Macaca fascicularis: one gene and its partners. The protein of the gene in region 1 interacts with the protein of each later gene in a pairwise test. Links are inferred from orthologs where the notes say so. Each region holds a gene or a part of one and is shown in the gene's direction. Other genes may lie near its edges. The genes, in order: TRIM27, OAS1, PSMB1, NIF3L1, STK25, EIF3D and ARHGEF3.

Region 1 (4,794 bases):
TGGGCTAGGGCTATTTGGTACTGGAATTTGAACGACTGGGTACTCAGAGTATGGTTGCAAGGTGGATGTGGGTTTGGGGTTGGCAAGTGCACTTAGTCCCTCAGACTTCTTGTCCCATGGGGAAGAGGACCAGAGGGGAACTCTAAAGTGATGATGTGGGCTGCTTTGCCTATGGAGTAGCCATTCTTTATTCCTTTACTTTCTTAATAAACGTACTTTCACTTTGAAAAAATAAAATAAAAATCAAGTAAGGTCTGGAAGCAGAAGCCCGTATTGCTCAGATAGCAGGACAATATTGAGAAAATCTCAAAGAAAAGCAGGAGACATCAAGCAAGGGATAAGAAAGCAACTTAAAAATGCTGGAGGTCTACTGCATGATAAGACAACGAGTATTGTGGGACTCCAAGACCCTGGGTCACTGTAGGATTCTTAGTCTCTCTATACTTCAGAAAGGAGCAAGCAATTTTTAGTTGCTCCTCAATACAACAACCCTATGTAATGGGCATTTTGTTACTATTTTAATGGATAAACAACCTTATGGTTCAAAAAGTAAAAGATGTAACGAAATCTACTTCTTTACGGCGGTACAGTTATCATCCCCATTTCACACGAGGAGAAACTGAGGTAAATGAATGGTAAACCAACTTGCTTGGGCACAAGTGAGAGGTAGCAGAGCTGGGCTTGTTATTGCCACACAGAAATGTTACCATCTGATAATTAAACCTTTCTTTTTCTAAACAAAACTGCAAGTGCCTACAAATGGGTCTGTTTAATAAAAGGCCTCACCTATCAGGTGGGCTCAGACGGTGACCCTCCTCATCCTCCAGCCTCTTGGGGAAGCCAGATGTCTGCGCTCCCCAGCACCTATATAAAGCCAGCTTTCTTTCTTCTTTTCTTTTTTTTTCAAGACGGAGTCTCGCTCTGTCGCCCAGGCTGGAGTGCAGTGGCGATCTCGGGTCACTGCAACCTCCGCCTCCAGGGTTCAAGCGATTCTGCTGCCTCAGCCTCCTAAGTAGCTGGGACTACAGGCGCCTGCCACCACGCCCGGCTAATTTTTCTATTTTTAGTAGAGATGCGGTTTTACCATGTTGGCCAGGATAGTCTCGATCTCCTGACCTCGTGATCCACCCGCCTCGGCCTCCCAAATGCTGGGATTACAGGCGTGAGCCACTGCGCGCGGCCAAAGCCATCTTTAGCAGGGGCTGAGACCTGGGCACCAAGAAGAAACCCAACTAAACACTAGGGGCCTGGGCCCGGCAGTCGCGGAAGATTGTAGGCCCGGAGCGTGTGGCACCATCTGCTTTTGTGACCAGTCCCCTAGGCTAGAGCTTCGGCGCGACCCGCCCAAGGGAGAGTGGCGGAGCCTCCCAGGCCTTTCTAGAGAAAGCAGCCCGGGCCCCGAGGCCACGAAATCTTGTCACACACTATAAGCGCGGGCCAAGCCCCGCCCCCCGAGCCGCCTCTTCCGCTCGCGCCGGGGTGGGGTCTACGCGGCCGCCGGGATCCGCTCGGACGCGGCCACGTTGTCTTGCGCGCTTTGCGCGCCTGGCCCTGGGATCCTGACCCTTGGCTACCCGTTCCTGCCCCAGTAACGTGGCCGCGAGTCTCTGTGAGCCGGCTGTATTCCCGCACTCGCTCAGGGGGCACAGGCGCAGGGATCGGCCCGGCCACTCTGAGCCTTCGGTGCGCGGGCGCGTCTGGGATACGGGCCCGGGAGGCACCGCCCTCCGTCCGCCCGGTGCCTCCCAGGAACAGCGAACGGGAGAGAGCGCCGGAGAGTTGGGCTCCGTGCAGAGCTCGGCGCCGGGGCCCATGCCCGTGAGCCCCCGCAGGCCCGCGCCATGGCCTCCGGGAGCGTGGCCGAGTGCCTGCAGCAGGAGACCACCTGCCCCGTGTGCCTGCAGTACTTCGCAGAGCCCATGATGCTCGACTGCGGCCATAACATCTGTTGCGCGTGCCTCGCCCGCTGCTGGGGCACGGCAGAGACTAACGTGTCGTGCCCGCAGTGCCGGGAGACCTTCCCGCAGAGGCACATGCGGCCCAACCGGCACCTGGCCAACGTGACCCAGCTGGTGAAGCAGCTGCGCACCGAGCGGCCGTCGGGGCCCGGCGGCGAGATGGGCGTGTGCGAGAAACACCGCGAGCCCCTGAAGCTCTACTGCGAGGAGGACCAGATGCCCATCTGCGTGGTGTGCGACCGCTCCCGCGAGCACCGCGGCCACAGCGTGCTGCCGCTCGAGGAGGCAGTGGAGGGCTTCAAGGTGAGGGCGCGGATCCGGGAGGGCGGGAACGCGAGTCGGACAAAGGGAGGAGAGAGCCAAAGGGGCTTCCCTTTTTCCGCCTAGAAAATGGCTGAGCCGGACGTGTGGTTCACAGCCGTCATTTCCTCTCTGTCCGCTCCAGAGCCTCAGCACTCAGATTTGGAGGAAAACCTGTAGCTGGCGAGGGAGCCAGAAGTCTCCCCACCCCCACTCTCCTTTCTCTGTGTGCCCCCATGTTTCCTGTCTCACGGACACATTGTACACGGAGACATGCTTTTGACAGTATAAAAGAAGTGCATAAAATCGCTTGCACATCGACGAGCTGTAGAGACACATGTACTCTCGTCGGCTGTCAGACAAAACGCAGTCGGACATTAACTGACCGATGCCCATTCCTTGGTCTATAAGCATTTCCCCAGCACTTTCCTGCAATACGTCCTGGTCTAGAAACTCACAGAAAAGAACAGGCTCTTCACTGCTTAAGTCATTTAACCACTCTGAGACTCAGGAGATAACAGTTATGAGGAAGATTATGGAATCATGTGATGCACAGAGCCCTCTGTGAACTGGCACAGCTAAACAGAAACGTGGAAACAAAATATTACATATAAAACAGTTGTAAGGTGACCTTCAAGGAGTCCATGATACTGTGTATTTTCTGTATGTTGAGGGCTTCAGGAATTCATACACAATTATGTCCGTGTTTAAATATGAATACATTCATGTGTAATTAATCACTTAACATTTATGGACCTTTCAGCTATATTCTTTCACTTACTCTGGTGAGAACTCTTGAGTAGGTTGGGAAGATGGTGTTTGCCCATTTCACACATGAGGGAAATAAGAAGTCACTTTCACAGTATGCTTGTGTGGAAGAGCTACAATACAACATAACTCTAAGCCTCCTACTCCAGTCACAGTTCCGCTAAGTCATGCGATATCCTACCAGGGACAGGTAGATGATTCATTGTTTAAGATAGACACAAATAATCCTGACGAGGTAGCTGAGTGGTTGAAGCGACAGGCTGCTAAGATAGACACAAATTGCCAAATGAGTGGCTTGTTGGCCCCTGCGCCCTGAGTCTTTCTCTTGTGGGTGGCAGTGTGGCCTGAGAACAAGTGCCAACTGGATACTTGGCATCAGGTGTGTGGACTCCATGTGTGATTAGAAGTACCATGCTGATGCTAAGGTCTACCTAGTTTTGAACTGCCCATCTGTTTTGCTTTTCTCAGGAGCAAATCCAGAACCAGCTTGACCATTTAAAAAGAGTGAAAGATTTAAAGAAGAGACGTCGGGCCCAAGGGGAACAGGCACGAGCTGAACTCTTGGTAAGGGTTGTTGGAATTCACAGTCGCTTCTGCTGGTGCTCCCCTCTTCTGTAGAGCTGATGTTACTTCCCTTAGACTTGTCCAGCATGTCACCCAGAACCTGTAGGTAGAGGGGGATCAACTGCACATGGCAGTGGGAACTCACCCAGAGAACTAAGAGATTCCCTTTCTTTTGGGGAAAGCGTGGAGGAGCCAAGTTTGGAACCCTTGGAAATCAGACCTGTCAGTATAGTTTAACCTGCTAACTGCGTAGACCAAGGTTGATCCTTGGCAAAGCTGAGATGGGTAAAATTATTGGATACAGTTAGCTTGCGTTGTTACCATTCTTCAGACAAGTGCTAATAGTGGATTTGTGTAAGTCCCACTGTTGCTTCTCTTTGTGTTATTCTCCTTTCTTGACAATGCCTTAATTCTGAATTTTTTGCTCTGCTCTCTTCCTCCAATCTCTCAAGGCCTCGACAAGTGGCTGATGTATTAATTTATGATAGGGGTATATGGGAATTTTTTCTTTTTATTTCCGACAGGGTCTCACTCTGTCACCCAGGCTGGAGTGCAATGGCAAGGTTTCGACTCACTGCAACCTCTGCCTCACATTTCAAGTGATTCTCCCACCTCAGCCTCCCAGGTAGCTGAGGCTACAGGCATGTACCAACACACCCAGCTGATTTTTGTATTTTTAGTAGAGATGGGGTTTCACCATATTGACCAGGCAGGTCTCGAATTCCTGACCTCAAGTGATCCACCTGCCTTGGCCTTCCAAAGTGCTGGGATTACAGGTGTGAGCCACTGCACCTAACTGGGAATTTTGTTTTGAAAAGAAAAAAAAAAACAAGGCAGGGCATGGGGGGGGGGTGGCGGCTCACACCTGTAATCCCAGCACTCTGGGAGGCTGAGGTGGGCGGATCACCTGAGGTCAGGAGTTGAAGACCAGCCTGGCCATGGTGAAACCCCGTCTGTACTAAAAATACAAAAAATTAGCCAGGCATGGTGGTGCACACCTGTAATCTCAGCTACTCGGGAGGCTGAGGCAGGAGAATCACTTGAACCCGGGAGGTGGAGATTGCGGTGACCCAAGATCGTGCCATTGCACTCCAGCCTGGGCAACAAGGGCAAAACTCCGTCTCAAGAAAAAAAAAAAAAAAAGACAGTACAGAGACATTTATAATACACATTTGTATATCCACCACTTAGGTGTTTGAAAATG
Region 2 (4,056 bases), on another chromosome or scaffold:
TCTTGGAATTAGTCATAAACTACCAGCAACTCTGCGTCTACTGGACAAAGTATTATGACTTTCAAAACCCCATTATTGGAAAGTACCTGAGCAGGCAGCTCAGGAAACCCAGGTATGCTATCCCCACGTGGCTTAGCTCCCCTATGTAAATGAACACCTGGACACAGGTACAGTGCCTTGGAAATGGAGAAGGTGGGAGGGCTCCCCACTTAGTGAGAATATCCTCTTGCCTGTCATTCGTACTGGGCATTTTACTACTGCCACCTGATTTAAACACCTACCTCAAACCCTGTGAGGCAGGCACTATCATTTTACAGGTGAGTAAACTGAGGTTCTGAGAGGTAAGGAGCTCGTCCGGCCCTTAACAGAAAATGAGTAAAATAGCTGGAATTTGAACTGAAATAAGAACAGCAGCAACAACAATGATAGTAATTGCTCCCAGGTATTGAAAGCTTGCTGTAAGACTAACACATGCTAATATAATAGTAAAAATTATTATCAATATTACTGACATGTATGTTATGTTGTAGTCACTGTGCTGAGCATTTCACATAACTGGGCTTTTTCTATCCTCACACCATAGCCTTTGAGATACGTATGTGGAACTATCTCCATTTTACAGATAAGAATCCTGAGGTTTAGAGAGTTCAAGTGACCTACTCAAGGGCACATCACTCATAAAGGGCAGAGGTGGGATTCAAACCCACATCTGTCAGGCGCAAGTGCAAGGCTCCTTCTCCTCATGCTCACGGCCCACTGGGGAACAGGGCACTGGGGACATACCCCAGGGAGCCCTTCCTCGTGCTCTGAGTCCCAGTCCATCCCAGGCTGCTATTTTGCTCTCCAAGGAGCATCTGGACTCCCTGGACTGAGCCCCAGCTTCTCACTTGTCCCTCTCTAAATGTTGCTCTGCAGGCCTGTGATTCTGGACCCGGCGGACCCTACAGGAAACCTGGGTGGTGGAGACACAAAGGGTTGGAGGCAGCTGGCACAAGAGGCTGAGGCCTGGCTGAATTACCCATGCTTTAAGAATTGGGATGGGTCCCCCGTGAGCTCCTGGATTCTGCTGGTGAGACCTCCTGCTTCCTCCCTGCCGTTCATCCCTGCCCCTCTCCACACAGCTTGAGACATATAGCTGGAGACCATTCTTTCCAAAGAACTTACCTCTTGCCAAGGCCATTTGTATTCATATAGTTCCAGGCTGTGCTCCATATTTAACAGTCATTTTGGTCACAATCGAGGGTTTCTGGAATCTTCACATCCCTTGTCCAGAGTTCATTCCCCTAAAAGTAATAATAATAATCTGTAGCACTATTTACTGACTGTCTGCTTCGGGCTCAGGTTCTGTCCTAAGCCTTTTAATATACACTATCTCTTTAAATATTCACAACAATCCCATGAGGCATGTTTTCTTTTTTTTAATTTTTATTATTTTAGGTTCAGATGGCACATGTGCCATTTGTTACACAGCTATATTGTGTAATGGTGGAATTTGGGCCTTTATTGATCCTGTCACCCAATTAGTGAACAGAGAACCCAAAAGGAGTTTTTTCAACCCTTCCCCTTCTTCCTCCCTCCTCCCTTTTGGAGTCTCTAGTGTCTATTGTTCCCATCTTTAGCAGATGTTAAGTATTTGGTTTTCTGTTTTTGGGTTAATTCACTTAGGATAATGGCCTCCAGCTGCACCCATGATTTCATTCTTTCTTATGGCTGCATAATATTCCATGGTGTAGATATACCACATTTTCTTTATCCAGTCCACACTGATGGGCACTTAAGTTGATTCCATGACTTTACTATTGTGAATAGCACTGCGATAAACATATGGGTGCAGGTGTCTTTTGATATAATGATTTCTTTTCCCTTGGGTAGATACTCAGTAGTGGAGTTGCTGAGTTGAATGGACATTCTGTTTTTAGTCATTTGAAAAGTCCCATGAGGTATGTTTTCTATCATTCCCATCTTACAGATGAGACAAAGGCTCAGAGAGGTGAGGTCACTTGCTCAAGGACATCACGAGTGGTAGAAATAGGATTCAAACTCAGTGGACTCTAAAGCCAGTGCTCATGTCACGGTGCTAAACAGCCAGCCTGGTCTCATCCTCACCTTTCATCTGACCAGTGGGAGACTCTGAGCAGCTGAGTGCCTTGGGCTAAATAGGGGCAAAGGACCCAGTCTTGGATCTTTCTACCCCCAAGCAGGAATCTGTCTGATTCCAGGGGATTGATGATGTTGCAGATGGCTAGGAATGGAATTTAGTGTGGATGGAATTTAGTGTGCAGGATGTTCTGGGGGAGAGCCACTGGAACCAGCACTCAGGGAAAGGAGGGGAAGAAAGGATAGGAAGAAAGAAAGAAAGAGCATAGGGAGAAGTGAACAGGGATGCAAAGCAAATGCCAGCTTCAGCCAACTTCAAGGACAGCCCTGGAGCTGGAATGGCCTTTAGAGCTGCCCCATGGCGACAGAAGTGGCCAGGCCTCTATACCCCTACATGGACCACTCACTGTGCCTGGGCACCTGGGAAAGGGCATGGCCTTGAGCAAAACGCTCTCTGCAGCTGAGGCAACCCCTAAACGGGCTGAGGGCTGAAGTCTGTCTGCTGCCCACCATCCCAGCAGCTGGGGTTTGTTAGTCTTTCCTCAAAGGGGGATCCAGATGGCATGTCACAGTGTCCACCTTAAATGCTCACTGAATCCAGCTGCAAGGTAGGAAGACTCCCTGATGAGATCATGTGTCTCACCCTTTCAGGCTGAAAGCGACAGTGAAGACGATGAGTCCTACGATCCCAGGATGTATCAGCAACATGGTTACATCCAAACATATGAGTGCCCTCATTTCTCTCATAGCCCCAGCATACTCCAGGCAGCATCCACTCCACAGGCAGAAGAGAACTGGACATGCACCATCCTCTGAATGCCAGTGCATCTTAGGGAAAAGGGCTCCAGTGTTATCTGGACCAGCCCCTTCGTTTCCAGGTGGGACGCTTGATCCAGAGAGGACAAAGGTCCTCAGTGAGCTGGTGTATAATCCAGGACAGAACCCAGGTCTCCTGACTCCTGGCCTTCTATGCCCTCTCTCCTATCATAGATAACATTCCCCACAGCCTCGCTTCATTCCACCTATTCTCTGAAAATATTCCCTGAGAGAGAACAGAGAGATTTAGATAAGAGAATGAAATTCCAGCCTTGACTTTCTTCTGTGAACCTGATGGGAGGGTTATGTCTAATGTATTATCAATAACAATAAAAATAAAGCAAATACCATTTATTGGGTGTTTATTAACTTCAAGGCACAGAGCCGCCAAGAAGTACAGATGCCTATCTGGGGGGGGGGGGGTGTGTGTGTGTGTGTGTGGGTGTTTGTGTGTGTGTGTGTGTATACATTGATTCAACAAGAAATATTTATTGAGCACTTACTATGTGCCAAGCATAGCTCTGGGCACTGGGAACATAGCAATGCACAAAAGCAGACAGAAATCCCTGTCCTCATGACCCTGCAGAGCCAAGGCTTCCAGAATTTTTTAAGTAAAAAAAAAAAAAAAAAAAAATCCGTGTCCTTATGGAGTTGACATTTGTGCAAAACATCTTAATATTAGATGGTTTTCCTATTACTAGTAATTCTGAAACAAGCATCCTTGATTTATCCTTTCTCCATATCTCTGAGAAAAATTCTAGAACCTCTCTATGTGACACAGCAGCCACTAGCCACATGTATCAAATGCTTAAAACATAGCTAGTCTAAATCTATGTGTGCTGTGAGTGCAAGATATATACTTGGTTACAAAGACTTAGTACAAATGAAAAGAAGGCCAAGTTCTTGCCAACTGATAATTTGTTTAATTGTGTGCTGAAATGACAATTTTTAAATATATTTGAGTTAAATCAAATGAGCTTCATCTCTTTCTTTTCCCTTTTTAATTGTGTTTACTAGAAAATGTGAAATCACACATGTGGCTTACATTATATTATGTATTTCTATTGGACAGCTCTGCCCTCCAAGGTAAATCACTGGATTAAAGATTCGACTATACTGACTTACATTGCCACATTGTTACAC
Region 3 (4,280 bases), about 140 Mb from region 1:
GAGAAGCCTGGTTGGCAGCATTTTAGGCCTCGGAGGAGGAAGGGGCCTGATGGTCTGTGTTTTGTTTACACCAACTTTCCATTTCATGTGTTTTGCTCCTACCCTTTGCCACTCTAGAACCTGGTCCCCTAAGTCGAGAGCCTCTGCTAATGTATCAGGAGACTTCATTTACTGTCTTCTGTGTTGGTGGATGCAGGGACCTGGAGAGCAGTGCTCCATATTGAAACCTTCAGGACAGCAAGGTCCACAGCTCTTTCCCTTGGTGTCAACCGCTGTCGGCACTAACCTCTCTGTCTTTATTCTCTTAGCTGCTGTCATGCCTTTTAAATATTTTTCTCCCAAATTAAAAGTGGCTTTAGTTTTTCGGTAGTGAAAATAATCAATCAGTACATGTTTATACATACACTCGTGCAGTTTTATATAAGTAGGACTTTGGTATCTGTTTTTCTGTAACTATACATTGTCTATTATCAAGGAGATCTAAGCTGTATGCATAGTGATTTTTGTATTTAATTAAATTTTTTTTTCTTCTGTTTTTGCTGCTGTAACACATAGTTTTTAATAGCTGACTTACACAGTATGGCTGTACCATCATTTACCTAACCAGTCCTCTAAAGGACATTTTGGCTTCCTGTTTTCTTGATATAAACAATATGATGAACGTCATTGTACATCCATTTTTGTGAACTTCTCCAATTATGCTTGTCTTGCTAAAATAGACTTCTAGTAGTTGAAGTATTGGGTCAGATAATTTTTTTTGTATTTTGTTGACTGTACCCTTTCTGAAGGACATGCCAGTACCCCGAGTACCTGGTTTTATGTAGCCTTCCCAGTATTAGAATTAACACATTTGGAAACATGTTTTTCCCCATTGAACAGTCTATTATTTTCATTTATATATATTTTTGGGCATGTTTTCATATGTTTATTGAGTTTATAAATTTCCTCTTTGGAGACTGATTAATGTGTTAACTGTTGCCCATTTCCTTATTTGCAGGTTTTCTTCTCATTGATTTTCAAGAACTACATTCAACTGTGTCAAATGTCTGTAATATAGACGACCCCAAGAGTGTTATTTGTCTCTTTTGGGCAGTGCCTTTTGCTACACAGAAATTTCTGTGTTTCATACAGTCTAATCTGTCAGTCATTTCTTTATGACATTCAGTTTCTTGCCTTGTTAGAAAAACCTCTCCCATCCAAAGCTTACCTGTGTTTCTTTTAAGACTTGTCTGATTTTTTTACATTGAAATTATTGTGCTTTTTGGATTTTACTTTGATGAGGAAAAGCACTTTGTAGTCAAGATTCATGCCATTCTACATTTATTTTTATTTTTATTTTTATTTATTTATTTTTGTTGTTTTATACTGATTTTAGTAGTGTCTCTCTTCCTTCTTCTAGGGGATCTTTAAAGCTGTGTTCTTGGACGTAGCCCACCATTTCTTCGGTTTGTTTTTTCAAATTTGTTGTGTGTGGTTTTCTGAGATAGGTCCCATCCTTGGGTAAAGCTTTTGGACCTCAGTTTATATGTGGCCCGTCGTCCTCATGAGAGATATAATCATTTTTTTGCCTTTACACCTTATATCTCTTTCTTTTTTTGTATATTAAGGTTAGTGGATTGCCTGCTGTGATCTCGTGTCTTGTCCCAAGCTTGCTTTCAGCAAAAATACTTCCCACAGTTTCTTAGGTGACCTCAGATGGTGCCTTCTCCACCAGAGAATTTCAGTTTACACAATTCTTTTTTTTTTTTTTTTTTTTTGACACCAAGTCTCACTCTGTTGCCCCAGCTGGAGTGCAGTGGCGTGATCTCGGCTCACCACAACCCTGCCTCCCGGGTTCAAGCGATTCTCCTGCCTCAGCCTCCCAAGTAGTTGGGACTACAGGCACATGCCACCACGCCCGGCTAATTTTTGTATTTTTAGTAGAGACGGGGTTTCACTATGTTGGCCAGGCTGGTCTCGAACTCCCGACCTTGTGATCTGCCCACCTCGGCCTCCCAGAGTGCTGGGATTACAGGCATGAGCCACTGCGCTTGGCCAAGTTTACACAGTTCTATAGTAGAAAACATACAAAGCTAACAGTGGCAGTTGTACATAGTTAGTAAGAAGACTGTCCCTATATCACATCTCCCAGGGTACTGAGTTCTGGTATATAATGTGTTTTCCAAATCAGTTATGTTTTTAAAAAATCATACGTTGTAAATGATTCATGATTTCTCATACCCAGAACACAGTTGTTTTTAACAGGCCTTTTTAAAAATTGTAGAATTACCTGTGTTCTTTTTAAAACTCGAATAATATAGAAACATAAGAAGTAATTCCTTTCTTTTCTTGCCTCTAATTCAGTGCTGAAAGATAACCAACCACAGTCTGTTATTTATCTTTCCAGACTTTTTTGTGCTTGTACAAAGAGTTTTCTTATTCTTTTAAACAAAAATAGTATTGTATTATACATGTTACAGAATTCTCTTCATTTTACTTTGTCTTGCGGATGTGTCCCTTGGACCTGTCTATATACATAGGTAGTGCTTTCCTTCAAGTTCTCCTCTTCATTAGCTTAGGAGAGCCAAGATATAAAGACTTTCTTATAAATTACTGTTTGAGTTTGGTTGATGTGCCCTACACAGACCTTACTGTCTCTCTGTGTTCTCCCTACTCTCTTGTGGGTCCTTACCTACTCCCATGGCTTGGATTATTTTTGTGAATTCTCATGGCTTCCAACTCTTTTTACATCTGCAGTGGTTAATTCTCGTGCCATCTTTACCTGAAGATCATAAAAATGCCCTTCTCCCTCTTACTCACCCTTTCTGTGTTAATATTGTATTTTAACTCCCAAGCATAGTTTACCCTTGAACAACACACCAACACAGGGGTTGGGGCTGTCTGCTGGGTGGCACCTGTGCGATGGTGACTGTGTGCTGGTTGTCACCTGTGCGATGGTGACTGTGTGCTGGGTGGCATCTGTGCGATGGTGACTGTGTGCTGGTTGTCACCTGTGCGATGGCGACTGTGTTCTGGCTTTCACATGTGCAACAGTGTGTGTGGTGCAGCTGTCACCAGTGCAACAGTGACTGTGTTCCAACTGTTCCCTGACGTTTTAGCCAAGGTGATAGTCCATTTTGTGTCACGTTTTGACTTGATTTATTTTTGTGATGATTTGGGATTGTGATTGGATGCCATCCTTATGGATACTATTTTCTTCTTTAAGGAAAGGGGGCTGTATACAGCTTTGACCCAGTAGGGTCTTACCAGAGAGACTCCTTCAAGGCTGGAGGCTCAGCAAGTGCCATGCTACAGCCCCTGCTTGACAACCAGGTAATGATATGTGTCTAATTTGTCATAGTATTCATTTGAAGTACTTTTCTCCAAGTTCTCTTCATTAGCTTAGGAGATCCAAGGTATAAAGACTTTCTTATAAATTACTGTTTGAGTTTGGCAGATGTGCCCTGCAGAAGCCTTACCATCTCTCTCTGTGTTCTCCCTACTCTCTGGTGGGTCCTTACCTACTCCCATGGTTTTGACTGTTTTCCTGTATTCTCATGGCTTCCAACTCTTTTATGTCTGTAGTGATTAATTCTTTTGCCATCTTTACCTGAAGATCATAAAAATACCTTTCTCCGTCTTACCCACCGTTTCTGTGTTACCCAGTATTGTACTTGAACTCCCAAGCCTACAACTGACCCTTGAACAACACAAGGGTTGGGGTGCCAATTCCCCAAGCACTGGAATATCCACATATAACTTTCGACTCCCAGAAAACATTACTAATAAGCCTACTGTTGACTGGAAGCCTTGCCAATAATATAAACTGTGGATTATCACGTGTTTTATATATGTATTATGTGCTGTATTCTTATGAGAAAGTAAACTACAGGAAAGAGAAATGTTATTAAGACAATCATAGGAAGAGAAAATACCTTTACGATACTGTATTTGTTGATACTGTAAGTTTACATCATCTGTTTACAAGGAGAATCATCTGGAGTGGTGGACAACCACAGCTGCAGACCTCAATCTACAGTACATATCAAGCAAGTCAGCCTTTTCTTGTAATGTCATAACTTTCCCTGCTCTTTGGGGAGCACTTCCAGCACCACTAGTAGCACTTTGTTTGGGTCACTTGTTATTTAAGGCTTATAATATTGCACTAAACACAATGAAAAACAAAGGAGAACCTTGAGAGATCACTTTAACTTTTTATAATCAATTTATGTGTATTTTATGGTAGTGAATGATAAAATAATTAGTATCTACATATAGTTTATACATTTGTGACATACTTT
Region 4 (4,280 bases), on another chromosome or scaffold:
TGAAAAGGGAGGTCAAGAAAAGTTTTATTTAAGAAGTTGAAGGGGGTTTGGGAAAAGGAAGGATAATATTTAGAGAAATGGATTAGGGAGGAGGTTGGTTGAAGCAAGGGTAGGGAGAATAAGAACAAGGGTGTGTGAGGCAGGAGATGGGATGGACGTTTGTGTATTATGTACCAGACTTTGCTAGGTTACATAATTCATTTGCTCCTCTGGATGGCCTGTGAGGTGGGCTATAGTATCTCCATTTCGTAGGTGAGAAAACAAGATTGGAGAGGTTAAATGGTTTACCTAAGTTACTATGTGCTGGTAAGTGGCAGAGCCACTATTTGAACCCAGATCTCTATGATGACAGTTCTTTTGCCCATATGCTTTGATGCCTCAAAGATCCAGGCCTAAAGTGTACCTGTGTACCATTTTCTTTGTTTTGACTTCAGAAACTTGAACTTTACCTGATTTCTGTATGTTGTCATCTTGTGTACGCCCGGTCCCCACGACAGTCCGGTTTGTAGATTCTCTGATCTGCAGTTCTTCCCGTTCCTTCATGGATTTGAAGGCTCTCCTTTCTTCCTTGAATGACTTTGCATCCCTCTCCTTTGCTGAGAGTTGGGACAATGTTGGATTACTGGTGGAACCAAGCCCACCACATACTGTAAATACGCTCTTCCTGACCAATGACCTGACTGAGGAAGTGATGAAGGAGGGGCTGCAAAAGAAGGCAGACCTCATTCTCTCCTACCATCCGCCTATCTTCCGACCCATGAAGCGCATAACCTGGAACACCTGGAAGGAGCGCCTGGTGATCCAGGCTCTGGAGAACAGAGTCGGTATCTACTCTCCTCACACAGCCTATGATGCCGCACCCCAGGGCGTCAACAACTGGTTGGCTAAAGGGCTTGGTGAGAAGCTTCTTTCATATTTGATATTTTCCCTGCAAATACTTTGAAACCTTAGAATGTCTGTCCAGTAAAGTTTTAACTGCTTTAGGGTTGGGGAGGGTATGATTCCATTTTTGTATAATAAATTTAAAATAATGTTGCTGAAATTTGGCAGTTAAATTGCATTTGAAAAAGGAAACATTTTTTATTCTTACGGAGTTAGGAGAGCAGAAGTCTTCCTTACTGGGCTGAACTTCGTGATCCCTCACTTTTGTGGCACAATGCCTGTCACCCAGGCACTTGAAAAATGCTTGTTGAATTGAAAGCTCAGGTCTCTCCAGAATACACTTGATTGATAAATCAGGCAAATAGACATCTGGGTTTTAGTGAATGTTTTTAGTGAATGTTTACTTATGCCTAGGGAATGATGTATGGATTTTAGCTTTACTTTAGTAAGTCTTTTGTTTACTCATTTTGGGCTGAAGCTTTTATGATGATATCTGGATTAATGTGGTCAAATAAAGTATGAGCATTTGCAACCTGAATGATGGTTTACATGGGTAGATTTACCAAACAGTAGACCATTCTGTGTATTATCTGAAAATGTATGAATCAGTCTTTCTTGTCCAAGTTTTTCAGAGATTTAAGAATCTTTTGGAAAATAATTCTGAAATAATTTGATTTTGTACATCCATACCAAAGCCCTAGGGGACTGGTGATGTATATCTAAAGGATATATGTATGTGTGTGTATGTCATATAAGCATGAGAATGAATCTTTTAAAAAAGTCATTTCTTAGAAATTTTGCCTATAATAGTTTATCTTACTTTTAAATGTTAACCTCTAACCCCCCAAAACTCCCATTTTCCCACAATATTTTCTCTAGGAGCTTGTACCTCCAGGCCCATACATCCTTCCAAAGCTCCCAACTACCCTACAGAGGGAAACCACCGAGTAGAATTCAACGTTAGCCACACCCAAGCCCTGGACAAAGTCATGTCTGCAGTGAAAGGAATTGGTGATGTTTCTGTCACTTCTTTTTCTGCTAGGTACAATTTATTTTTCTCTTTTTTGTGTGTGTATTTATTTGTAAGCATCTTCCTTACAAAGTCTGTAACCCTGGTATTTAGGCTTGAAACAAATAATTTTCTCTAGAGTTGGTTTACAAAGCAGCATACTCCTCATTTGTCTGTGGGTCCTGGAGACGTATGGAATTTTTTCAAAACAATAAAAACAACAAGTAACACTTATTAAGTATTTTCTATGTCAGGGGACTATACTATGCATTTTATATACAGTATTTCTAATCCTGTTGATGTTCAAAGATAGTTGTTTTCACTTTAGAGAACACAGATAGATCCTAGTGATGTGGTGATGAGGCTTTTATTGGTTCCCAGCAAATCAGTGATTTCCAAGCACTTTCTTTGTTTTTTATATTTATCTTTACATTTTAAATATATATTTTCATAAATCAGTTTTTTAATTTAACATCATGGGAAATACTTTTCTGAATAATCTTTGTTTGTTTGTTTTAAGAGACTCCCAGGCTGGGCGCAGTGGCTCACACCTATAATCCCAGCACTTTGGGAGGCCAAGGCTGGTGGATCACCTGAGGTCAGGAGTTCGAGACCAGCCTGACCAACATGGAGAAACCCCGTCTCTACTAAACAAAATTAGCTGGGTTTGGTGGCGCATGCCTGTAATCCCAGCTACTCGGGAGGCTGAGGCAGGCGAATCACTTGAACCCAGGAGGCGGAGGTTGCAGCGAGCCGAGATCGCTCCATTACACTCCAGCCTGGGCAACAAGAGTGAGACTCCATCTCAAAAAAAAAAAAAAAAAAAGCGATTCCCATGCTGGAGTGCAGTGGTATGATCGTAGCTTGCCATGGCTTTAAGCTGCTGGTCTCAAGCAGTCTTCCCACCTCAGCCTCTTAATTAGCTGGGACTATAGCTGCCAAGCACTTCAAGTGAAAAATACATTAAGTGCCTCTTTATAAGGTCAATCATTATTTAGGGCAGAGATAGGAGTTTTTTTGGTTTGTTTATTATTTATTATTATTTTTGAGACGAAGTCTAGGTCTGTCACCCAGGTTGGAGTGCAGTGGCACAATCTTGGCTCACTGCAACCTCCGCCTCCCTGGTTCAAGTGCCCGCCACCATGCCTGGCTAATTTTTTTTTGTATTTTTGGTAGAGATGGGGTTTCATCATGTTGGGTGGGTTGGTCTTGAACTCCTGACCTCGTGATCTGCCTGCCTCAGCCTCCCAAAGTGCTGGGATTATAGGCGTGAGCCATGGTGCCCAGCTGTTTTTTTATTTTTTATTTTTGAGAGACAAGGTCTCACTTCGTCACCCAGGCTGCAGTGCAGTGGCATGATCACAGCCCATTGCAGCCTTGACCTCACAGGCTCAAGCCATCCTCCCACCTCAGCCTCCCTAATAACTGGGACTATAGTTATAACTTGCCACCATGCCTGGCTAATTTTTGTATCTTTTGTAGAGACAGGGTTTTGACTTGTTGTCTAGGCTGGTGTCAAACTCCTGGGCTCAAGCCATGTGTCCACCTTGATTTCCCAAAGTGCTGGGATTACAGGCATGAGCCACTGCCCCCAGCCTAACCTCTCATTATTTTTAATTGCTTGTAGTGTTTCTTATTATGGATGAACGGTAGTTTCTTTAAGCATTCCTCTTCCTACTGATGGACTTTTTAGTTCGATTCCAGTTTTTCCATATTGTAGATAATATCTGAGTTTTACCACTAGATAGGGACCAAGGCATTGGTTTTCTTTCTTTTTTAAAAATTTCGGCCGGGCGCGGTGGCTCAAGCCTGTAATCCCAGCACTTTGGGAGGCCGAGACGGGCGGATCACGAGGTCAGGAGATCGAGACCATCCTGGCTAACACGGTGAAACCCCGTCTCTACTAAAAAATACAAAAAACTAGCCGGGCGAGGTGGCGGGCGCCTGTAGTCCCAGCTACTCGGGAGGCTGAGGCAGGAGAATGGTCTAAACCCGGGAGGCGGAGCTTGCAGTGAGCTGAGATCCGGCCACTGCACCCCAGCCTGGGCGACAGAGCAAGACTCTGTCTCAAAAAAAAAAAAAAAAAAAAAATTTCACAGATGATTGCAGAGTTTATAATTAATGCTTCCAGATTATCTTTAAAGGTGTTCTTTAGTTCTAGAATTTTATGATTATATTTAGAATTTATGGTTAAATGTGAAACTTTCTTGATGCCAATAATTTTGGAGAGGCTCTGGAGGGTGATCCAAGGACCCCCTGCATGATTGTTAATCAGGTGCTTATTTAAAATGCAGATTTTTGTATTCATCTCAGATCTTGTAATTAGAATGGAGTTTGCCTGAGAATCTGTCCAAGACATTCTCAAATTCAATGTTTTAAAATTATCTCT
Region 5 (3,643 bases), on another chromosome or scaffold:
ACCAAGCTATGGATCATCATGGAGTACCTGGGCGGCGGCTCGGCACTGGACTTGGTGAGGCATAGGCCATGGCAGTGGGGGGTCATGCAGTGTCCGAGTCCCCTGCTCCTCAGACTCATGGGCTCCAGGGGCCACCTCTCGTTTGGTGTCATGGCACATTAGGTGTTAATTACGAATCGTCTAAAGCAAAAATGAACTGCCATCCGCACATCTGCCCAGTTGGTGCTGAAAGGGGTCCTGGCCTGTGGGAGTGGGCGGGGGCAGGCACGCTGGGAGATGGTTGGGAGCCTGTTTTTCTGTTACATGACAGTAAAGCGAAGCTGGTTTATATGCTTTAGACCACCCCACTCCCGTCTGAAAGTTGTGTTTGAGAAGTAAAGGAACATGAAGCCCCCGGCTATCTGCAGGGACAGCCCTCCCCTGTCAGAGAGACAGGAGAACTCAGGCATTGGGCCTGGGACAGGAGCTGAGGCCCTGCTGTCCCACCTTCCTCTCCAGCTTAAACCAGGTCCCCTGGAGGAGACGTACATTGCCACGATCCTGCGGGAAATTCTGAAGGGCCTGGATTATCTGCACTCCGAACGCAAGATCCACCGAGACATCAAAGGTCCTGCTGGGGGTGAATGTGGCTCTTGTAATGTCCTGAGCCCCACTGACCTTAGAGAGGCTGGGGCCTGTGAGGGGCAAGTGGCTAGTGGTGCCCAGCGTCTGGGGTATAGAGAACCCTGTGGCCACCCTGAAACTGAGCAGTTGTCTTGCTCCATTTCCAGAAGATACTGTTTGTAACAGTTTCCTTGTACGCTGAGGAAACCAGCTGTGGACTGAGTGTAGGAACAGCCACGCTTAGCCACAGTTGTTGGTTCCCGGTGGCTCACAGCACAACAGCAGGTGTAGGCTTGAGTAGCCCCAGCGTGTGGTCTGGCCCTGCTAAGTGCAGACATGAGGTTGGGCCAGCCTGTGGGGAGGGACTTGCCACCGGCACCGAGTCATCTCTCTCATGTAGGGGACAAGTCTGGTGGAGCAAGGGGCTTCCTGGCAGGCCCATGGTGGCCACACCCTTGGTCAGGGTCACCTCTGTGGTAGCCCCCAGTGGGCGAAGTCGCCTGTCGTTGGGATTTGTTGTAAAAGCCAAATGCAGGGAGAGCCCTGGAGCTCGGAGTGGAGACCTTAGGCTCCTTCTGGCAGTGCCCCTGTGGCCCTAGGTGGCCCTGGGTTTGAGAGTGGCAAGGAGGGCTGAAGTCCTGAGGACAGCCCTGCTGTGCCCTAGGAGGCCAGGTGGATGATACCCTGGCCCTTCTCAGGGGGCCCTGGGTGGAGCCACGTGGAGCCTGGCATGACGTCTGCCTGTCCTGTGTCAAGCAGCTGCCAACGTGCTACTCTCGGAGCAGGGGGATGTGAAGCTGGCGGACTTTGGGGTAGCAGGGCAGCTCACAGACACACAGATTAAGAGGAACACGTTCGTGGGCACCCCCTTCTGGATGGCGCCTGAAGTCATCAAGCAGTCGGCCTATGACTTCAAGGTGGGTGCAGTGGGTGGGCGGGCGGGTGCGGGCACCACGCCTGACTGGGGTGCTCAGGGCAGCGACAGTCCTTGTGTTCTGTCCAGGCCGACATCTGGTCCCTGGGGATCACGGCCATCGAGCTGGCCAAGGGGGAGCCTCCAAACTCTGACCTCCACCCCATGCGCGTCCTGTTCCTGATTCCCAAGAACAGCCCTCCCACACTGGAGGGCCAGCACAGCAAGCCGTTCAAGGAGTTCGTGGAGGCCTGCCTCAACAAGGACCCCCGATTCGTAAGGCCCGCCTCTGGCCTGGCCCCTTCTGGACGGGCATATGGAGGGAGGGCATTTGCTTGGGGTGGGCAGCACAGCCCGGAGGCCTAGGCCCCCCAGCCTTGTAGCCATGAGGACCTGCCCCAGTCCAGGCTGCCTCACATTTGCTTTCCTGAGGCAGAGCTTGGCTGGGCCCAGTGACCGATGTTCCCCTGACCCCGCACAGCGGCCCACAGCCAAGGAGCTCCTGAAGCACAAGTTCATCACACGCTACACCAAGAAGACCTCCTTCCTCACGGAGCTCATCGACCGCTATAAGCGCTGGAAGTCCGAGGGGCATGGCGAGGAGTCCAGCTCCGAGGACTCTGACATGTAGGGGCCTGGTTTATCCTCATGGTGACCCTCGGTGTTGTGACGTGGGTGGTCCCCACTCCAGAAGCAGGGGCGTGGGCTCTAGGGGTGAGAGTGACCAGATATAGTATTGGGCAGGGACCCCCTTAAGGCTGCAGGACAGGGCCTGCTGAGGCATCAGTTGGACTCCGTGGCCTGGCAGAGCGCCGCCCAGTACCTCGGGTTTCCCTTGGCCGTGAGGTGTGCCCTGAGGCCCTTGTGCCTCCTGGTCCTCCCCCCACTGACCCTGGCAACTCTTCATCCTCTTCAGTGATGGCGAGGCGGAGGACGGGGAGCAGGGCCCCATCTGGACGTTCCCCCCCACCATCCGGCCGAGTCCACACAGCAAGCTTCACAAGGGGACGGCCCTGCACAGCTCACAGAAGGTCTGTTCCCGGCCTGGCCTCTGCCTGCTGTGCACCCCTGGGGCTGGGTGCGGGACCCAGCTTTGTCCACCCAGTGTCTGGGGCTTGGACAAGGAGCTTGGGAAAGGCAGGGGTGGTCTGAAGCCCACTGTGGCACTGGGCCTGGTGTGGAGACCCCAAGCCCCAGCATGTGCTGGGAAGATGAGGGCCTGTTAGGAGCCAAATTTGTGAGGAGAGGGTGGGTGGGAGTTGCAAGTCCTGAGTCAGGCCATCTGGGTGGCTTGATGGTTTTGGGGCCAGCCCTGGGCATGTGCCGTGACAGGCTGCTCCCAGTCTCCATCCCTTCAAGGCTAGAGCCTGAAGGGATGGGAGTGCCCTGCCTGTCGCCTGCACTGCCCTGCTCACCCTGGGCCTCCACTTCCTTTGCAGCCCGCAGAGCCTGTCAAGAGGCAGCCAAGGTCCCAGTGCCTGTCCACGCTGGTCCGGCCTGTCTTCGGAGAGGTGAGAAGGGGGCTGGGGCTGGGGCTGGGGCTGGAGCCCCGCCAGGGACAAGGCTGGGACGCTGCTCCGCGGGGATGTCCCCTCACAGTGCCGTGGGGCAGTCTCAGCTTCTAGGTTTCCTGCAGCTGATTATGGGCTGGGTTTCCTGAGTAGAAGGAGCAGAATCTGCTGTGATGACCTTTTGTGCTCCCAGACCTGCCAAGGTCCTCTGGGTTCCCAGAGCGACTTTTGTTTTCTTCAAGTGCAAACACAGATGACCCTTCTATAGAGAAAGCAGAGAAGATGTAGTCGGGGTCCATCCAGGGCAGGTGCCTCCCTGGTTAGTCACATGACCTTGCATCAGCGTCACCTGCTAATGGGCAGTCGGCACCATTCTCAGAGATGTGATGCAGCCAGGAGCTCTGTGCCCAGGGCGTGGCCAGTGGGCTTGGGCCCAGGTGTGCTCTCCAGGAGCCCCTCCTGGAGCCTGGGGAGGATGTGGGTGAGAGGTGGTGACAGGAGAGCCTGCCTGAGGATGGCAGAGGGTGGAGCAGTCGAGGGACACTGGCCCCAGCCCATGTGGAGGCCCCAGTGAAGCAGCCACTCAGGCCCAGGTCCCGGGCAGCCTGCTGACCTA
Region 6 (4,906 bases), on another chromosome or scaffold:
TTCGAGACGAACCTGGTCAGCATGGTAAAACCCCGTCTCTACTAAAAATACAAAAATTAGTCGGGCATGGTGGTACACGCCTGCAATCCCAGCTACTTGGGAGGCTGAAGCAAGAGAATCGCTTGAACCTGGAAGGCAGAGGTTGCAGTGAGCTGAGATCCTGCCACTGCACTCCAGCCTGGATGACAGAGAGAGACTCCATCTCAAAATAAATAAATAAATAAATAAATAAATAAATATTAAAAAATTAAAAATTAGGCCGGGCGCGGTGGCTCAAGCCTGTAATCCCAGCACTTTGGGAGGCCGAGGCGGGTGGATCAGGAGGTCAGGAGATCGAGACTATCCTGGCTAACATGGTGAAACCCCGTCTCTACTAAAAATACAAAAAACTAGCCGGGCGTGGTGGCGGGCGCCTGTAGTCTCAGCTACTTGGGAGGCTGAGGCGGGAGAATGGCGTGAACCCGGGAGGCGGAGCTTGCAGTGAGCCGAGATCACGCCATTGCACTCCAGCCTGGGAGACACAGCGAGACTCCGTCTCAAAAAAAAAAAAAAAAAAAAAAATTAAAAATTAGCCAGGCAAGGTGATATGCACCTGTAGCCTCAGGTGCTCCGTAAGCTAAGGCGAGAGGATCACTTTAGACCAGGAGTTAAAGACCAGTCCAGGCAACATAGTGAGACTCTGTCTCTATAAAATTTTTTTAAATAATTAGCTGGCCGGGTACGGCGGCTCATGCCTGTAATCCTAGCCCTTGGGAGGCCCAGTGAGTGGACTGCTTGAGCTCAGGAGTTTGAGACCGGCCTGAGCAACATTACAAAACCCCATCTCTACCAAAAATACAAAAATTTAGGCAGGCGTGTTGGTGTGTGCCTGTGTAAACCCAGCTACTCGGGAGGCTGAGCTGGGAGGATGGCTTGTGCCTGGGAAGTCGACGGTGCAATGAGCCGTGATCCTGCCACCACATTCCAGCCTGGGCGACAGAGAGAGACCCTGTCTCAAACAATAAATAAAAATAAATAAAAACGGTGTTCCAGAAATCCCTGTCCTACAATTAAGTTTGAGAACCGTTTAAGTATGGTTTGAAATCTGGCGGTTAGAACCCTAAACTAGCAGTCTGATCTAGGCAGGTCACTTGGCACCTCTGAGCCTCAGTTTCCACAACTATAAAGGCGGAGGGGGTAACAATAAAGTCCCCCGAAGACCCCGACCAACCTCTCCTGCTGTGAGCTTCACACTAAGCAGGCGGATAGAGCAGGCGGGGAGTCGCGGGTGACTATGGGATACATGGGGGCTAAGGCGTGCCGCGAGCATTGTGGGACACAGAGGGGCGCCAGCCGCTCCCCGCCTCTAGCTTCGATTGCGCGGCCGCCACGTTTCAGTGATGAACGCCCTCTTTGGGCGTTCCCGGATACCGCCTGACGTAGTACCAATCACACCTCTCGCGTCTCGACGCCTCAGAGGCTAATAAGGACGCCTGGCGAAACGCAGTAACGGATTTCCGGGTGGACCTTCGCTTTACGGCTCGTAAGTTCTTCCGCCCAACCCAGAGGAAGCGGGAGCGCAGTTTACGACAGCGCCGGTCGTGTTTACGGCGGCGTCCGCTGCGCGCGCATATTTTCTTTTTTTCCTGGTTTCTCGGAGTGCTGCTGCTAACGCGGTGTCCGGCCAGCACCATCTGTTGCCATCCCGGCCGGCCGAGGCCGTTTCAGGTGAGCGGCATGTTTCATAGGTTCCTGCGGACCTCCGGAGCCGGCTCGGACTAGGTCCAGACTTCGGGGGCCTCACGGAAGAGACCTTTCTTAGTCCCTTCCTGCTGTTGCTGTTCCTCCGCTGGGCGGGGCAGGAATCCACTTTCGGGGGCCCCACGTCCTGCACACTACTGGACGCGGGGCACGACTTTGTGGGTGAGGTCCCTGGCCCTAGGCCCTGCTCATTGCCCATGGGCTGGGTGAATTTGATTGCCAGTTAACCCATCTCGGTTAAGGCGGAGGGGTAACAACAAGGTCTTTCTGAAGTGGCCGAAGACACCCTGACTTTTTAAGTGGGGTCTTAAGGGGTGCCAGGTTGAGCGGTGTTTGGCCCCTGTTCTTAGGAATTCCCAGTGCATAGGTTACCTTCCGTTTTTTGTGAAACTGGAGGCTAGGATAGTTACGCCACCCCCTGTTCAGCGATGGACGGCGTATGATCCGTAGTGGCCTGCCAGCCACAGAGCCCCTTCTGAGTGCCTTCTTGGAGCCCCCCTATCCTGCCCTTCTGACCAATACAGCTGTTACTTCGTTTTTACTGAGCAGCTCAGTTTCTCCTGGTTCCTCTCTGCTCTCCTTTTTAAAAAAAAAAAAAAAAAAAAAAAAAAAAAAAAAAAAAACATGTATTAAAGCTAGGGAAGCTAGGGTATCTCACCGCTGTCTTTCCAGAGAGGTGATGCAGGTCAAGCCTCGGGCCTTTTCCCTTCTTGAGCTTCTGACAGAATCCGATTTTTAAAAGTGTGTCTTGCGACTCACTTTTGGTATTACTAGGTACGGTCTCAAACCCCCGATCTTTGCGGGCTGCTACCCAGCTGTAATAAAATGGAAAGAAAGCTGGACTGACAGCAGGCACCCCTGGAAATGAAATCTGTTTTGAAATGATGACGTCAGCTGCTTGGCTAGGCTGGGCTTCAAATTTTTGCCTCTAAAGTGGGGGTGAGGGGGTGTTAATGGTGTTAAAGTATCTGGCATATTTCTTGACACATAGGAGCTCAGCGATATTTAATACGAATTGTTCTGAGACCACCACCCTTTTTTTCTGTCCTCTTCCTATAGTTCCTATTAGGAAGATGAAGCTTCTAGGTTTATTCCGTGTTGCTGTCACCCAAATGTCATCTCTGAAGGAAGCCTCAATCTCCCCAGCATGGGGCTTTGGGGGGAGTTTACTAAGTTCAGCATACCTGTTATTTTTGATTGTTCTCCAGCCTCCAAGAAATACTGGATTTTTGTCTTTTTATGGAGTCTTGCTATGTTGCCCAGGCTGGAGTGCAATGGCACGATATTGGCTCACTGCAACCTCTGCCTCCCAGGTTCAAGCGACTCTCCTGCCTCAGCCTCCTGCGTAGCTGGGATTGCAGGTGTCCACCACCATGCCCGGCTAATTTTTGTATTTTTAGTAGAGACTGGGTTTCTGTTGACCAGGCTGGTCTCGAACTCCTGACTTCGTGATCCGCCCACCTCGGCTTCTCAAAGTGCTAAGATTACAGGCATGAGCCACTGCATCCAGCCTCCAAGAAATATTTGTGTAGTGAATGCCTTCTAAGCATTTTCAGAAGGCTACAACGGAAGATAAATGCATAGGTTTTTTTTATAGGAAGTGTCAGGCAAGCATCCGCTGTAGAACCCTGGTCTTTTAATTCCCCTGAGAGAGCTATAGCATTATGCAGAGTGCAGACACTGTAGTCAGACTGCTTTGGTTCACGTTTTTCATCAACTAGCATTGCAACTTTGGGCAATTTCTTCATTTCTCTATGCTTTGGTTTTCTTATCTGGAAAGTGCGAATAACATTGGCTTCTACCTCACAGGATTGTTGGCAGGATTGAATGAATGAATGAGTGGTCACCACTAAGAACAGTGCCTGGCAGTATTCATGAACATCTGACATGGCCACTTTGGGCCTGAGGTCTATGGGGACCTCCTTGGCCTTCTGGCAGTTCTTTTGCCTGGGTTTATGTCCACTTGCTCTGCACACAGGATTTGCGTTGATGGCAGAAAATTGAAACAATAAGAAAGGAAAATTGAATTTCAGGATATACTTAAAGATCCTTTTTTCTCAGCACTCTCTATGCATAAATGTACTTTTGCAAGTCTGAATACTCGTGTGGCATTTTACAAAGTGCTTAAAACAAGGATCTTGTTTATTTTGCAGATGAAAAAGACTAAGGCGGCTGGACGTGGTGGCTCACGCCTGTAATCCCAGCACTTTGGGAGGCCGAGGTGGGCGGATCATTTGAGGTCAGGAGTTCAAGACCAACCTGGACAACATGGTGAAACCCCGTCTCTACTAAAAGCACAAAAAATAGCCAGGCAGTGCTTGCCTGTAATCCCAGCTACTCGGGAGGCTGAGGCAGGAGAATCACTTGAACCCAGGAAGCGGAGGTTGCATGCCACTGCACTCCAGCATGGGTGACAAAGTGAGACTCTGTCTCCAAAAACAAAGAAAAAGACTACTAAGTCTTAGGGAAGTTGAGTTTGTATGAATTGGTGAAGGTATATCTCAGAACCAAAACAAGGTTACTATATTTGAAAAAACATCAGTACATTTTATCAAATCTGTGACACCATTGAATTTTTTCAAACACTTACATTGTGTAACACAAAAAAAGAGCCGGGCGCGGTGGCTCAAGCCTGTAATCCCAGCACTTTGGGAGGCCGAGGCGGGCGGATCACAAGGTCAGGAGATCGAGACCACAGTGAAACCCCGTCTCTACTAAAAATACAAAAAATTAGCCGGGCGCGGTGGCGGGCGCCTGTAGTCCCAGCTACTCAGGAGGCTGAGGCAGGAGAATGGCGTGAACCCAGGAGGCGGAGCTTACAGTGAGCCGAGATCGCGCCACTGCACTCCAGCCTGGGCAACAGCGTGAGACTCCGTCTCAAAAAAAAAAAAAAAAAAAAAAAAAAAAAAGAAAAACTACCAATCAATATGACACTCTGTCAAGCACAAGGTGCTGCCTCCTTTTAAAGCTGTTACAGTGAAAGAGTTTCGTGAAATTAATGACATAGGGTCAATCAGTTTTGTTTGCATTCTTCTGGGTTTTAAGTACATATTCACAGTATAATTAACAGTAGTAGTCGCTCAACAGTTGAGGGTTCCAGTTTGCGTGTTGCTTTTTGAATTCTGTCATTTATGTCTTTGCTTACTTCATATGGAGGGCTTTTTGT
Region 7 (4,280 bases), on another chromosome or scaffold:
AGGTCCCTTTATTCTCTCCTGTAGCAGACAGATGCTTCTGCTTAACCAGGGAGAGTTGCTGCTGGAAGCCCCTACTTGTGTTATCTCTTGAACTCACAATCTCAAAGGAATACTCTTTCCTCCTTTCTCCCATAAATCATGTGAGAAATTTCAGGGAATCACATGCCCATCCCTGAACCAGGATGGTGGAATACTCTGTTGGTCAGGTCTGGGGGAGCCCACCAAAACTATATGTAATAGGATACCCAAAGTTAGTGGGATTCTATTTATAGAAGGAGGAGAGTAGGAGTACTAGCCAAATGTTTAAATAAATAAAGGTCATCCACTATTGTTATCTCTTGTTCTTCTAAAGAGGGGAGATGTTCACTGGAAAAAAGTAGAGCTCATCACGTATCCAAGAACTGCCTTCATGCGTGAGTTTGGCCTGATATGTGCTTGCACTGTAGTCCACTTGGTATCCAGGTCGCACAGAACGGATACTCCCAGCGCATGTTCCAAAGCAGCCCCCTGTCCAATTTTCCTTAGCACGTAGGCTCAAGACAATGCCCCACTTCCCAAAGGCCTTGTGGCAATGTCCTCTTTTTCTTTCACATGTATGATTTATGTTCTGTCAACGACAGGAAACTGCTCAAAGATCCACCCAGTCCTGCCGCTGCCCCCGTGATGGTTTGTTTTTCTCATTGTTTAGCGCTCCATTAGCTTCCGCAGTGAGAGCCGCCCTGACATCCTCGCCCCCCGACCCTGGTCCAGAAATGCCGCCCCCTCAAGCACGAAACGGAGAGATAGCAAGCTGTGGAGTGAGACCTTCGATGTGTGCGTCAATCAGATGCTTACATCCAAGGAAATCAAACGTCAGGAGGTAGGCTCCGGGCCCAAACTCCATGTTGGCTGTGTGTCTGCAACAAAGGTGCATTGCAGGCGTCAGCCGTGCTGGAGTTTGCGCCTTAGTCTCCAAATCAATTCTTCATTGCATTTGTAGAAGGACAAACGGGAGTGTCTGACCTTGGGGAAGGAACTGAGAAACCAGAAACCAGCTGGGAGGGTGTGGCCCCCACTTTAAAAAGAAACTGATGTGAAAATGTGAATTTACAAGAAGATGAAACCAAATGTCTATTTAGGATTCTGAAGTTCACAGAAATAATCATTTTAGTTATATTTTGATAGCAACTTCTAGACTATTTTAAAATATTCAGTTTCCATAACTTTGATTCAGCTTTGTGGAAAACTTCCTTTCTATAGAATCCAGTTAATTTCATTCCCTGTAAGTTTTCTGTATCAATTGCCCTAAATGGCTCTGATAATATTACCCTGTATAGAAGAGCTTGTCTAAGTGCTTGTGCCAGGCTGTGCTGAGAACTTCATGTGTGCATCATCGGATGAGATCCTTGGAGTATCCAGCCCAGGGTTGTGCCTCCACCTGCTTTGTCCTCAGTTTACCAAGCAGCCCCAGGTGGAGGGAGCTTTCAAAGCCTGACCACTTTTTCCCTATATCCTGAAACACAGTAGACCCTGAAATATAATTACAAACTTGTAGTCCTTTAATAATGTAATGTTTGCTGACAGTTTGACTTCCCAGATGGAAGTGAAAGAGTGTTCTGCGCGTCATAGCTCTTTAGTATGATGGCTTAATGGAGCCAAATTAGAAACGGTCCATTTACATTACATACTCTTCCACACAGCCAGCTCCTATAATTTTATTTTTTGTACCTGTGGGACTGAGAGGTAATTTAGAATGAATTAACTTTACCAGATTGTATTTGGAGTGATAAAATGTTGGATTCTTCCTACAGTATCAGCCTAAAGGCATTGGATAATACAAATAAAACTTTCTGCTGAGATTCGCCTTCTGTCGAGTGGAAGAAAAAGTGAGGATGGCCCAGTTAATAATACTGCCACATCCATTATCTAGAACAGCCTCTGAATCACTTCTTATGATTGCCTCTCACAACAAGGGTACCAAATCCATGCTCACGCTAATTATTTTACCTAAAATAGTTCCCTCTTGTTTGACTGCATCAAAGTTCTCTAACATGAAGATGACTTTTTGAATTAGAAATGTGTGGAAACTTTCTCCCACAAACAGAGAAGCACAATATGCAGTAGTTTTGCAGTATCTTTTCATTGCAGGGTTAAGCATAGATGCATTTGCTTCAGGTTAATGTAACTTAAAATACTTAAATATGTAAATTTGGGGTTTTGAGTGGTGGAGCCAGCACTCTTTGAATATGGTCTTGTAAATGAAGGGAGAATTCAGTAAATATGTTTATCTTTCCTTGCAGGCCATCTTTGAGCTTTCCCAAGGAGAAGAAGACTTGATAGAAGACTTGAAATTAGCAAAAAAGGTAAATTTAAATCCAGTCATTTGAGTCAAGTCACTTTTTTTTCTTGACTAATTTCACAACCCTAAAGTGGTGCTTCATGAGAACTCCTTTTATGACTAAGACTGGTCTGCTACCACACACCAAGCAGTGGGGAAGGTGCTTCAAAACCAGAGGGCAGAATAGCTCTCCAGACCTGGCACCTTTAGGCATTTACCTCTGCATGTCTCTAATGCATGTCAAAGAATACTTCAGCCCAAATCAGAAAGTGTCCATGGAGGCCTCGCTTTATGTATGTTTCGTTGTCCTAGAAGTCTCATATGTACGAGTCTTTGCCCATGGGAGAGAATGTGTGCTTGTCTGAAACTTGAACTGAGTCTTAGAAATAAAGCCATTTGAATCTTAAAAGCAAATAAAGTGAAATGAGGCAATTGCATACTATCATATAAGCCGGGGTCTTTTATATAGGAATTTGTTTTCTAATCAACATTTTGTGTGGGGAGGAGGAGGACAACAAACCTTCCTCAAAAATGTTTTCATTCCAGTGGCACAGCCCCCCTACTCCATGGCTTGGAGGCTAAAACCAGACTCCTTCATCTGATATTCACAACCTCCTCAAAGAATCACAGGGTTGGAAGGATACCTTCCTTCTTTTAAGGGTTTTTAGTCTTTCTGCTAAGATGAAATTCCATCTCTAGCATTCCTGAGAGACGGCCACCCAAGCTTTGCTTGGACACAGCTAAGAAACTGAGTTTTAGGCAGGGCTGGAGGAGGAGATCAGAGAGGACAAAGAAGTTATTTCACTGTGAGAGTTATCATGCTGGTCATACGTGTAATTTCCCTTTCCTGCATGAAGATTTGCCAAACTCAAGCACCTTCAGATGTTTCCCGGCCATCCTTTTCCTCATGGTGGCCCTACCGTCCTACAAACTTTTCTCGTTCCTTTCAACCGTTCATATCCACCCATCCTTCAGGAACCAGCTCAAATCTCAGTTTATTCTTACATAACATTTATTGCCTCCTTCTCTGTACCAAGCAGCTCATCTTCAAAACTTTCCTTGGCCACTCCAGTTTTAATTCTCTGACCCTCTAGAGCAGTTTTGATTTGATGGCTTTTTGCTGTCATGTGACATCAGTCTTGATGTGAATCTTTAAATTTTAAACATAAGCCGGGTCCGGTGGCTCACACCTATAATCCCAACACTTTGGGAAGCTGAGGCGGGTGGATCACTTAAGGTCAGGAGTTCAAGACCAGCCTGGCCAGCGTGGTGAAACCCCATCTCTACTAAAAAATACAAAACTTAGGCCGGGCATGGTGGCTCACGCCTGTAATCCCAGCACTTTGGCAGGCCGAGGTCGGCAGATCACGAAGTCAGGAGATCGAGACCATCCTGGCCAACATGGTGAAACCCTGTCTCTACTAAAAGTACAAAAATTAGCTGGGTGTGGTGGCGTGCACCTGTAGTCCCAGCTACTCAGGAGGCTGAAGCAGGGAATTGCTTGAACCCGGGAGGCAGAGGTTGCAGTGAGCCAAGATCCACTGCACTCTAGCCTGGCGACAGAGCAAGACTCCGTCTCAAAAGAAAAAAAAAAAAATTAGCCAGGCGTGGTGGCAGGCACCCATAATCCCAGCTACTCAGGAGGTTGAGGCAGGAGAATCACTTGAACTCAGGAGACAGAGGTTGCAGTGAGCTGAGATCATGCCACTACACTCCAGCCTGGGTGACAGAGCAAGACTCCATCTCAAAAAAAAAAAAAAAAGAAAAAAATTCTTTTTTAAACATAGATTTAGTTTTCCATGAGATTGGAAACTAAAATATAAAACTAGAAAATATTTTAGTTTTTCTTATCTTCCCCATTAGCTTTATAAAATTCCTTGAAGGTAGGAGACTTCTAAGTCTTTGTATTCTACTTCAGTGCCCTGTGTATAACTGTGTATTCTTGTTGTTTAATTTTCTCTAA

The links.
Region 2: the proteins of TRIM27 (region 1) and OAS1 interact in binary tests that used the Homo sapiens proteins (3 or more experiments, as listed by UniProt). The two-hybrid records come from large-scale screens. The link is inferred for Macaca fascicularis from reciprocal best matches to the Homo sapiens genes TRIM27 and OAS1.
Region 3: the proteins of TRIM27 (region 1) and PSMB1 interact in binary tests that used the Homo sapiens proteins (3 or more experiments, as listed by UniProt). The two-hybrid records come from large-scale screens. The link is inferred for Macaca fascicularis from reciprocal best matches to the Homo sapiens genes TRIM27 and PSMB1.
Region 4: the proteins of TRIM27 (region 1) and NIF3L1 interact in binary tests that used the Homo sapiens proteins (3 or more experiments, as listed by UniProt). The two-hybrid records come from large-scale screens. The link is inferred for Macaca fascicularis from reciprocal best matches to the Homo sapiens genes TRIM27 and NIF3L1.
Region 5: the proteins of TRIM27 (region 1) and STK25 interact in binary tests that used the Homo sapiens proteins (3 or more experiments, as listed by UniProt). The two-hybrid records come from large-scale screens. The link is inferred for Macaca fascicularis from reciprocal best matches to the Homo sapiens genes TRIM27 and STK25.
Region 6: the proteins of TRIM27 (region 1) and EIF3D interact in binary tests that used the Homo sapiens proteins (3 or more experiments, as listed by UniProt). The two-hybrid records come from large-scale screens. The link is inferred for Macaca fascicularis from reciprocal best matches to the Homo sapiens genes TRIM27 and EIF3D.
Region 7: the proteins of TRIM27 (region 1) and ARHGEF3 interact in binary tests that used the Homo sapiens proteins (3 or more experiments, as listed by UniProt). The link is inferred for Macaca fascicularis from reciprocal best matches to the Homo sapiens genes TRIM27 and ARHGEF3.

What each region holds. Positions count from the first base shown.
Region 1 is NC_088378.1:144,252,524-144,257,317, forward strand, and holds the start of TRIM27 (zinc finger protein RFP), read left to right. Parts: upstream 1-1,490; 5' UTR 1,491-1,841; coding exon 1,842-2,261; intron 2,262-3,494; coding exon 3,495-3,590; intron 3,591-4,794. UniProt on the Homo sapiens protein: E3 ubiquitin-protein ligase that mediates ubiquitination of various substrates and thereby plays a role in diffent processes including proliferation, innate immunity, apoptosis, immune response or autophagy.
Region 2 is NC_088385.1:119,855,449-119,859,504, forward strand, and holds the end of OAS1 (2'-5'-oligoadenylate synthase 1), read left to right. Parts: coding exon 1-112; intron 113-915; coding exon 916-1,095; intron 1,096-2,748; coding exon 2,749-3,091; 3' UTR 3,092-3,263; downstream 3,264-4,056.
Region 3 is NC_088378.1:530,565-534,844, forward strand, and holds part of PSMB1 (proteasome subunit beta type-1), read left to right. Parts: intron 1-3,205; coding exon 3,206-3,312; intron 3,313-4,280. UniProt on the Homo sapiens protein: Non-catalytic component of the 20S core proteasome complex involved in the proteolytic degradation of most intracellular proteins. This complex plays numerous essential roles within the cell by associating with different regulatory particles.
Region 4 is NC_088386.1:96,660,877-96,665,156, forward strand, and holds part of NIF3L1 (NIF3-like protein 1), read left to right. Parts: intron 1-434; 5' UTR 435-460; coding exon 461-896; intron 897-1,761; coding exon 1,762-1,924; intron 1,925-4,280. UniProt on the Homo sapiens protein: May function as a transcriptional corepressor through its interaction with COPS2, negatively regulating the expression of genes involved in neuronal differentiation.
Region 5 is NC_088386.1:137,448,189-137,451,831, reverse strand, and holds part of STK25 (serine/threonine-protein kinase 25), read left to right. Parts: coding exon 1-54; intron 55-498; coding exon 499-607; intron 608-1,362; coding exon 1,363-1,520; intron 1,521-1,606; coding exon 1,607-1,792; intron 1,793-1,952; coding exon 1,953-2,143; intron 2,144-2,432; coding exon 2,433-2,547; intron 2,548-2,955; coding exon 2,956-3,027; intron 3,028-3,643. UniProt on the Homo sapiens protein: Oxidant stress-activated serine/threonine kinase that may play a role in the response to environmental stress.
Region 6 is NC_088384.1:15,131,981-15,136,886, forward strand, and holds the start of EIF3D (eukaryotic translation initiation factor 3 subunit D), read left to right. Parts: upstream 1-1,618; 5' UTR 1,619-1,707; intron 1,708-3,893; 5' UTR 3,894-3,961; exon of another isoform or gene 3,962-3,979; intron 3,980-4,906. UniProt on the Homo sapiens protein: mRNA cap-binding component of the eukaryotic translation initiation factor 3 (eIF-3) complex, a complex required for several steps in the initiation of protein synthesis of a specialized repertoire of mRNAs.
Region 7 is NC_088376.1:119,842,920-119,847,199, reverse strand, and holds part of ARHGEF3 (rho guanine nucleotide exchange factor 3), read left to right. Parts: intron 1-688; coding exon 689-859; intron 860-2,279; coding exon 2,280-2,342; intron 2,343-4,280. UniProt on the Homo sapiens protein: Acts as a guanine nucleotide exchange factor (GEF) for RhoA and RhoB GTPases.